Linked DNA regions of Arabidopsis thaliana. The protein of the gene in region 1 interacts with the protein of each later gene in a pairwise test. Each region holds a gene or a part of one and is shown on either strand. Other genes may lie near its edges.

The links.
Region 2: the proteins of AT4G12100 (region 1) and TGA3 interact in binary tests that used the Arabidopsis thaliana proteins (3 or more experiments, as listed by UniProt).

The regions. Positions count from the first base shown.
Region 1 is NC_003075.7:7,245,537-7,250,013, reverse strand, and holds AT4G12100 (Cullin family protein), read left to right. Parts: upstream 1-1,886; coding exon 1,887-2,088; intron 2,089-2,166; coding exon 2,167-2,638; intron 2,639-2,738; coding exon 2,739-2,925; intron 2,926-3,034; coding exon 3,035-3,424; intron 3,425-3,507; coding exon 3,508-3,561; 3' UTR 3,562-3,676; downstream 3,677-4,477.
Region 2 is NC_003070.9:7,787,134-7,792,906, forward strand, and holds TGA3 (transcription factor TGA3), read left to right. Parts: upstream 1-1,999; 5' UTR 2,000-2,517; coding exon 2,518-2,523; intron 2,524-2,855; coding exon 2,856-3,056; intron 3,057-3,142; coding exon 3,143-3,229; intron 3,230-3,364; coding exon 3,365-3,424; intron 3,425-3,499; coding exon 3,500-3,577; intron 3,578-3,663; coding exon 3,664-3,727; intron 3,728-3,827; coding exon 3,828-4,099; intron 4,100-4,175; coding exon 4,176-4,409; intron 4,410-4,535; coding exon 4,536-4,688; 3' UTR 4,689-5,006; downstream 5,007-5,773. Other genes in the region: AT1G22080 (Cysteine proteinases superfamily protein), read right to left, coding at 5,271-5,279, 5,495-5,582, 5,657-5,773.

The DNA.
Region 1 (4,477 bases):
AAGGCCAAACACTTACAGACCTATGTTGTAGGATATGGGGTCAACTGACACCAGTTAAAATTCATATTTAATTATATGAACAATAATTTGTAGTTCATTTTTGTTAGAGCAATTAAGTTTGAACCCATTATTCAATTGTCAACACCAATAATGTTTGAGTGTTGTGGATTTTTCTCTAACTTGTTTGAACACTTCTTATTGTTATTGGGCCACAGCTCAATCTATTAACATATAGAAACTGTCCTTTTTATAATAACTAAGGGCTTGATTGGTTCTCCCTCTGCCACCCGCAAACGCAGCGTTTGCGGGTGGTAGCGGTTGTTAGCGATTGGCACCAATCATAAAAACCGCTAGATACCGCTTTGGACCGCTCGAAATCGTCAGATCTCAAAAGCTCCTTCCCGCAAGCGTTTGCGGTTGCGGGCGGTAGCGGTTAAGTTACAACAAAAATTTATTTTTTATAATTAATTAAAATAATTATATCTTCCACCCAAACCCTATATATCTTATTCTTGTTAGAAAACCCTAATCAATATATTGTAACTCTATTCTCTCAATTATGGCATCCACCCAAACGGATGAAAATTAAAATCAAAATCAAGAATCAAACGTAAGTATGATCTATCCGTTCATCCATTCACGACCAGTTTGGAAAAAAATTTAGTTGGAGATGTGTTAAAAATCGTTTGGATATCTTGAAGAAACTTTATTATATAGAGGCAATCCGGAAAACCCGCGAGTTCAACGTTATTTACAGTTTATCACACTATTTGATGCAATTTTTGGTAATGTACCAAATGCATAAAGTATTAAACTTTTTCTTACAAAATTTATTTATTTTTGAATTTAATGTTTTATTTATGGTTTTAATTATTAATTATGTTTAATTTTTCTAATATTATGAATTTATCATAATAATATATTGTATTTTTTCTTTCTTTTAATAGTAATATATTATATTTATTTTGGTTTATTTTTGTTTAATTACTATCACACCCGCTGGTTTACCAGTCATAAAACTCCCGCAAACGCACCCATTATCAAACGTTCAACCAGTCGTTCAAAACGCTTGATAACGCTTGAAACCGCAACTGCCCGTTTTCGCAAACTCCCGCAACCGCAACTGCACCCGCTGCGTTTAAACCAGTCAGGCCCTAAAACCCTACTTTATACTTTTTTTTTTGTCATCAAAAATCCTACTTTATACGTAAAATAAATCTTTAGATTATAAATAGTTAGTGTGGAAAATATATTTTGATATATTTGTTTTTAATATGTGTTAATGGCAACAAATTAACTAAAATTCTTGGGTGTCCAAGAAGGCTCCTTGCATGAGTTGCATACTAGCATTGATAAGATATGACATCAATGCTTTGATGATGATGATTTATTGGATAAGACCATCAGAGATTGTTTTGAGGGTTTGGGTCGTCTTCATGTGCCAATATGACTTTTTTTTTTAAATGTGATTCCTCATATTGATTCTTGAACCGTGTATATAAAAAAGTGTATATGATTCATTTTACAGGATGAATTTTCGGATCAAGAGCAGTGGATATATGATGATGAGGATTAAACTAACTTGACAAATGCGTGGAGAGGTGATTATTAGAAGTTTCGGATCAAGAGCAGTGGATAATTTTCATTTGAGAAGGAGATTTTAATTCATCCTATTTTCTGGAAACAAAAATATTAAGTAAATAAATAAATATCATAATCATCTTTTTAAATAATAAAGTCCTCCAAATTTTGTTAATTACTAGAATTGTTTCTCCATAGGGTTAGGGTTACGTTTCTCCGATTTTATTCCTTGAGACTGAATACTATACGATTGCGAATTGATCAGTGTTGTCTATCGATTCATTTTTCTTCAGAATTGGATTATCATGAAACGCTCGATCAGCCCCGACCCTTTTTCCTCAACGAAGTCGCCGAAACTCGTTCACCACTCACCGGATGATGGAGGAGCAGAGGGCAATCCTTATCGTCTTCCTTTTACCTTAAGCGATGAAAACCTCTCATGCCTTCCTATCTCCCAGGCGAGGGAGCCTCCTCCTATCTTTAACTTGGATCCCAATTCTGTCAAAGGTACGTTGGGATGTTTTTTTTTTTGTGTTCTCGTTGATTGATCTTCTAAATCTCATGTTTTGATATCATCCAAATTAGATACACAAGACAGAAACAAACTATACTTAGCAAAAGCTTGGGACTTGCTAAAGCCAGCGATCAAAATCATCTTAGATGATGATGAATACAAAAAGCCTGGCGACGTTCTCTGTTTCACTACGATTTTTAGAGCTGTTAAGCGTGCTTGCTTAGGCGATCCTCGACAATCAGAACTGGTTTTCAATCTTGTCAAGCATGAGTGTGAGCCTCACATTGCTGAGCTTATACAGTCTTTAGAAAAGAATTGCAGTGGCAGTGATGATCCCTCTGTGTTCTTGCCACACGTGTACAATCGCTGGCTAGACTTTAAAAGGAAGATGAGTCTTGTGTCTGACGTAGCCATGTATCAGACTCTTAATGGCTTGACATTGTGGGACGTGGGCCAGAAGCTTTTCCATAAACAACTCTCCATGGCCCCTCAACTTCAAGATCAAGTTATTACCGGCATATTAAGACTCATCACTGATGAAAGGTTAGTATGTAAGTAAGAGGAGTCTCATCTTTCTTTAACCGTTCCAGTCTCGATCTACTCACTCTTTCCCTTGCATTTTGTGTTAATGTTTGTCTACCAGATTAGGCAAGGCTGCGAACAACACGAGTGATCTCCTAAAGAATCTTATGGACATGTTCCGCATGCAGTGGCAGTGTACATATGTGTATAAGGACCCTTTTCTTGATTCCACTTCTAAGTTTTACGCCGAGGAAGCAGAGCAAGTCCTGCAGCGATCCGACATTTCCCACTACTTGAAATATGTCGAGGTACATACATCTCAAGACCTCAACTTAGCGTTATCATTTTGTTTTTTTAGCCTTTCCTTCCTAAACCCTGAAAATGAAAGCTATTCTTCCCTGTGATTGTTTGTTGCAGAGGACTTTCCTTGCGGAAGAGGAAAAATGCGATAAGCATTATTTCTTCTTTTCATCTTCCCGGTCTCGACTAATGAAAGTCTTAAAGAGTCAGCTCCTGGAGGCGCACTCTTCTTTTCTTGAAGAGGGTTTTATGCTATTAATGGATGAGAGTCTCATCGATGACCTTAGAAGAATGTATCGTTTGTTCTCTATGGTAGATTCGGAGGATTATATAGACCGCATTCTGAGAGCCTACATTTTGGCAAAAGGAGAGGGAGCTAGGCAAGAAGGCTCCTTGCAGGAGTTGCATACTAGCATCGATAAGATATGGCATCAATGCTTTGGTCAGGACGATTTGTTGGATAAGACCATCAGAGACTGTTTTGAGGGTTTTGGTCTTCATGTGCCGGTATGACTTTTTGTTTATTTGATCTCCCCTTATTGATTCTTGAACTGTGTATATAAAAAAAGTATATGTGATTCTTTTTACAGGGTGAATTTTCGGATCAACTGCAGTGGATAGATGATGATGATGATGAGGATTAAACTAAATAGAAGTTGTAATTGTTAGTCTGGTCGTGTGTTGCGTTTCTGTATTGATCTCTTGTAAGACTTTTCAACTAGCATACTAAAGAATATAAGTAATATATTATCAATTAGCTTTTGACCAGTTGGGAAATGGAGTTTCGTTACCATATCAGAAATTGGATAATACTCAACTGAATAGTGAATTGAAAGCTTATACATAAACTTTTGTTAATAGTTTGGGAAGTATATTGCTGGCACTGTAACCAAAGTGGGACGTTTTCACTCATACTTAAGCGATGGGATGTTATGCGTAGCTACATAATGGTATTGAGGAGAATTAGCGTTAATTGCTTTTGCATTGGTTAATTGCTTTTGTTATGTGTTGCTCAGATTTTGGATTGTTTTGGATTACTCTGTTTGTTGATTTTAAGTTGAGATCGAAAAAATATAAAATAATAACTTTTATGCGAATAATTGTTAAATTCTGTAATTAGCTCAAACAAATATACATTTCAACAACCAAAGATTTTTTTTTTTTAAATCCTAAATTAGCTGAAAATAATAACTAACTTAATCAACTCAAGATAATCTACATGTTAAATGCGGCTATATTTTAATTTTTTTAATCTAACTAACTAAATGCAATCTAATTTTGTGGTTGTTAACATAAATAAACTCATTATTCAAATAAAATTAATTTTTTAAAATAATACTATATTTTGTTTTTATATCTTAAAAAAATTATCCATATTTGAGTATTATATAAAAAGGAAAATATATTCATTATAATATTATATATAGGGAATGACCAAAAACAAATCCACTTACTACTATATTATATCAACAATTTATTCTAAAATATAAAATATATAGTATTTTGTTACTAAATAAAATTTAATACATGTTGTAGCGTAGAGTCATGATCTAGTATTAA
Region 2 (5,773 bases), on another chromosome or scaffold:
ATTTAGGATATAGTTGAATGAAGTTGACAAGTTGATGCATGCAAAGAAGTAAGAAGAATGACATTCTTGTATGCGAAAATGATTATTTTCAATTAGTGACTGATATCTTTTGCAAGTCTAAAATAAATATAATATATTTTATTAACAATTCGTGAAAAGTCTTTTTATTTGATGGCAAAATACTACATGGTTGTTCTTTTTTTTTGTTGCAACCATGTAATGATTAATGGTGATATTGTTGGTTGGTTGGTAGTCGAATGTTATATGGTTATTATTTTTTTGGTTGCAACCATGTAGTGATTGATAGTGATACTGTTGGTTTGCTACATGGTTACTCCTTCTTTGGTTCCAACCATGTAGTGGTGGTTGATGGTGATATTGTTTGTTGGTAGTCGAATGCTACATGGTTGCTCCCTCTTTGGTTGCAACCATGTAGTGGTTGATGGTGATATTGTTCAGTCGATCATAAAATATATGATGCATGAAGAATATAAATTATTGAATTGTTTTTCCTTGCTAAAAAGTTAATAAAAAACAATTTATCCTAAATACTCTTATTTTTTTGTAATTATGTTGTTAAAGGGTCTAAATTTTTATATATCCTTTTATCTTATATAAATATATATATATATATATATATATATATTATTTTATTGTTTATATATATGTAAGTAAATGATTGTGTATAAACAAAATTAATACTGAAAAAGACTAATTTTTAAAATTTGTACCAAAATTCCAGTTCTATTGAGCCGGTTTTGGGTGTATATATAATAATATATTATAATATATAATAATATATTATAATATATCGTGTATTAAAATTTAAAGGTTTATTACGAAATTTTAGACTTAAGATTGAATTCTATCATCTAGATTATTAAAGTTAAATAACTTATTATGATCTATTATTTTTATCATTGTAGACACTCTTTTAAGTGGTAAAGTTTAGGTCTAAAATCTATACATGTTATATAACAAAATAAAGAAAACACCAAAATTATTAGGGTTAACGAAAATAATATGTGACGTTACAGAAAAGAAACTTGCGCATTTTTAAAAAAAAAAAGTTGTACAAGGCGAGAAGCCTTAAAAAGCGGCACAGAGACTTCTGTAGATTTTTTCTCACGTGCACTTGCCATGTGTTGAATATTCGACAAATTTTATGGGCTTTACTCTAAGCCCAACTTTTCCTCTTTAGGCCTTTCTGCGCTGTTGCGTCAAAAAGACAAAAACTTAATAGATTTAAGAAAATCAAAATGATTCATTTTAGTTTCGGTATTTATCCTTTTGCATGTCATTGATCAATACGTTTTGAATCATATTTATAAAGATTGAAAACTATAGTATATGAAATCTTTATTAAAGCCAAACCAAAAGCCCCACTTATTTTACGTATTTGTCTCTGTCGAAACGCAGATTTTATCAGACAAGTGGCACCAAACTAACTAAAGAATCAATATTGTATTAGGCAAAAGAAGAAAAAGATAACAAAATTAATCATTTTCTTAGAGTTGGGTAGGTCACTAGAGGCCCAATTATTACTCACTAAGCTAAGGAGGAGTACTTAAGTTAAAAGATGCCACTGCATAGCACTGAGACCCTCCAAATAAAGCGAATAAAAATTAATAAATTGATTAAAAGTATTAATCTTCCACTCTTGTCCCACAAAATGCGACCTAATTTCTTGGAAAAGTTTATTCAATTTCTGAATAACAAATAATTCACAGTTATTCAAATATTTATACAAATAAATTATCAGCTATATTTAAAATCGTTACTAAAAAATATATTTAACCAATCGGTAGTAATCTCGTGGTACAAATATCAATTATCCATTTTCAGATCAAATCATTACTATAACTATTTTAATTTAAAAACTATATATATATATATATATTATATATCAACTTTTTATAATGTGAATCATAAGTCGACTATTAAGTTTTGATATATGATATTGTATGTTTTTTTCTAACAAAATCATAAACAAATCACATCTTATATATATGAGATTCAGATTCTCTATGTTAAAAAATAAAAATTACCGGAATATTCCCCTCAAGCATCTGACGTGTCGGCCGACGATGAAGAATCCAGGTCATCAAAAGGTGTAGTTTAGAAACAGAGGCGCACGATAAGGTCAACTTTTGGAATAGAGGAAAAGACTCAACCTTTTTTATCATCTCTCTCGATTTGTTTTTCTCCCGGTGGTGATGCTTTTGTCGTTTCATCGTTCGTTTACTTCAACTTGCTTATTATTCTACGCTCATGGACTAATCAAAGCCATGAGGAAAAAAAAAAAAGCAACAACACAAAATATATGTATAAAAAAATAAATATCTCTGCTTTTTTTTTTCAATGATGGGTACGCTTCACCTCTAAGTTTTGACCAAAGTTTTTCTTCATTTCTCTCTTCTCTCTTGTGGTCACCGTTTGATCGGAATATTCCTTTTAGAATGCCAAGATTCATTCTTCATCTCTCGAGCTCCTCATGAATTTCTTCTCTGCTTATCAATGGAGGTTGGTTTTTGTTTCTCATGTTATCTTTTCTTGCTTTGTGAAGTCCTTAAATTTTCCAATTTTGGTTTTTAGTTGTTGCAACTTTCTAGTTTCATGGGTATTACTCTATTTGGCTATGTTTCTTCAAAAGGCTCTGTTTTGGAGAGCTGGGTTTTCTAAAGTTTCAACCTTTATTGCTAAAACTGAAACTATAACTACTTGTTTATTGTGTGTGTTAGTAAGCAATGCAATTTTAGAGATATGGACTGGATCTATATATCTATTGAAAGCTGAGCTAGAGAATCTGTTTCTTGAATTCAATAAGCTTGAGTCTGTAAATTGTTGATTTACAGATGATGAGCTCTTCTTCTTCTACTACTCAAGTTGTATCATTCAGAGACATGGGGATGTATGAACCATTTCAACAGTTATCTGGTTGGGAGAGTCCTTTCAAATCAGATATCAACAATATTACTAGTAATCAGAATAACAATCAGAGTTCTTCAACAACACTTGAGGTTGATGCTAGACCAGAAGCAGATGATAACAATAGAGTGAGTTATTGTTTATTCCTGGATCATGCTTTAGAATGATTTATAAGTGTTGTTTGTTTGGTGATTGATGGTTAATTATGTTGCAGGTGAATTATACTTCTGTGTATAATAACTCTCTTGAAGCAGAACCGTCGAGTAATAATGATCAGGACGAAGACCGGATCAATGATAAGGTAAGGCTTTAGCATTTTAAGGCTACTTATACCTTTTGCTTCGAAGACTTCATAAACTCCTCCTTCTCCATTTTAATCTTTAGAGGAAGAGACACGGCGTGATGACATGAATTGTTGTTCCTTCTCTATGAACAGATGAAACGGCGTTTGGCTCAGAACCGAGAAGCTGCTCGCAAAAGTCGTTTGAGAAAGAAGGTAACCTTGGTGGGATTTTTTCTTGTGTTAATGATAAAAAGGAAAGCTTATGCAAAGTTGTGTCTGTGCTTGTAGGCCCATGTTCAACAGTTAGAAGAAAGCCGGTTGAAGTTGTCACAGCTCGAGCAGGAACTTGTAAGAGCTAGGCAGCAGGTTAGCTCAAGCTTGTTTATTTGTTGTGTGTTCATCAAACTTTATCTGATTCATTCTGACTCAGTGATTCTTCTGGTTTGTATTAGGGATTATGCGTACGCAATTCTTCAGATACTAGTTATCTAGGACCAGCTGGGAATATGAACTCAGGTTGGTGTTTATATCACTAAATAAGCATATGTTAGCATTGCTTTATCTCTTAATCCTCAGTAGATAAAGAAGTAATTTTCCCAATAATAACCATTTTCAGGTATTGCTGCATTTGAGATGGAATACACACACTGGCTAGAAGAGCAAAACAGGAGAGTTAGTGAGATTCGAACAGCGCTCCAAGCTCATATAGGTGACATTGAGCTCAAAATGTTGGTAGATAGTTGCTTGAACCACTACGCAAATCTCTTCCGCATGAAAGCTGATGCTGCAAAGGCTGATGTGTTCTTCTTGATGTCGGGAATGTGGCGAACTTCAACTGAACGCTTCTTCCAATGGATTGGAGGTTTCCGCCCATCCGAGCTTTTAAATGTAAACTTCTTTTTTACTTTTACACGTTTCTCTTTCTACTCTTGAGAAAAAATGCTCAACCTTTTTTGTTGTCTAGGTTGTGATGCCATACGTTGAGCCCTTAACCGATCAGCAACTGTTGGAGGTGCGTAACCTGCAACAGTCGTCTCAGCAAGCAGAGGAGGCTCTCTCTCAAGGCTTAGATAAACTTCAGCAGGGTTTGGTCGAAAGCATAGCAATTCAGATAAAAGTTGTTGAGTCTGTGAATCACGGGGCTCCAATGGCTTCAGCCATGGAGAATCTTCAAGCATTGGAGAGTTTTGTGAACCAGGTAACGCTAAGTGTATTTGCTTTGTGCTTTTGCAGTCTCCATGAATCCAAAGTTTATTTTCATTTTTGATTAGAAACTTTGTGAGCATGGATTTCACAAACAAAATCTCTGACAATATTGGAACAGGCGGATCATCTGAGACAACAGACCCTGCAGCAAATGAGTAAGATATTGACGACAAGACAGGCTGCTCGAGGGTTGCTCGCTCTAGGAGAATACTTCCACAGGCTGCGTGCTCTTAGTTCTCTCTGGGCAGCTCGTCCACGAGAACACACTTGACAAGTTAGGAGGCAAACAAAACAAAGAGAAAGAAGCACAAGGCAGATGATGTTAGCTATAGGGACTTGCTTTATCTCTCAGAAAGTGTTGGCTGATATTTTCTCCATTAGAGAGCATCATCTTCCTCATTGATGATTTTGTTTACTTGAAAGGAATAAGAGATGTGTAAATTTGGGTGGAAAACATGTAATGTCTTTGATGCATTAGGCTCTTTATTTGTAAAATATATAGGGTTTGTTGTCACTCATCTCCTCGTATATGAAAATTTGAGCCCACAATCAAATTTTTTGTCTATATTGTTATTCCAACAGTTCTTAGCTTATATTTGTTGTTGGTATAAATTGGTCAATAGACAAACAATAAATTCAAATAGATTCATAGAGAGTTTGATCATTCCCTTCATTCAAATTGTGCCTAAAATGAATATCCTACGGGTCTCAGCCAAAAAAGCCCACACCGAGGAAAGATAAAGACAAGAGTTAAAGGTAACACATGTTTCTTCCCTTTTGTGATACAAATGGGGTAAAAAGGGTTAGTTCTCTTTCTTTCTTTATCTCTCCTGTAAAATTCAAATCTTCTTCACTAGCCATCCTGGAAAAAAGAAGTAAAAAGACATAAGAATAGACCAAGAAATCAACTTCCAAATGTGAAGAACACAAGACTCATATGGAAAAGGCAGCAGAGTACTTCATGTAAACAAGAAAGTATCCATGACCCGGTTTACTACTACTTCCTTGTTACAAAATACAAGCTAGGAGGATGAAATATTACAGTCTCGTGCTTCTTAAAGAGAAAGGATTATTTACCTCTGGCATGGAACTGCTTGGGCCACCAAGTGATAAGGCATTGTGGCTATTACTTGAGCCCATAGAGTGTCCATAGAAGTCGGTACTTCTGCAAGCAAGCATGATCAGTTGGTAAGTATGGTATAAATAGTTTGGGAAAAGAAATCACTAGTAACAGAATACCTAGCATCTGAATGTTCCATCTTTGAAGCTACATCAGAGGTCTCTCCTGCGTTGTTGCTCAAAGGGCTTGATCCAAAGCTTAGTTGCGAGCATTCTTCTGTAGAGATTGGCAAATTA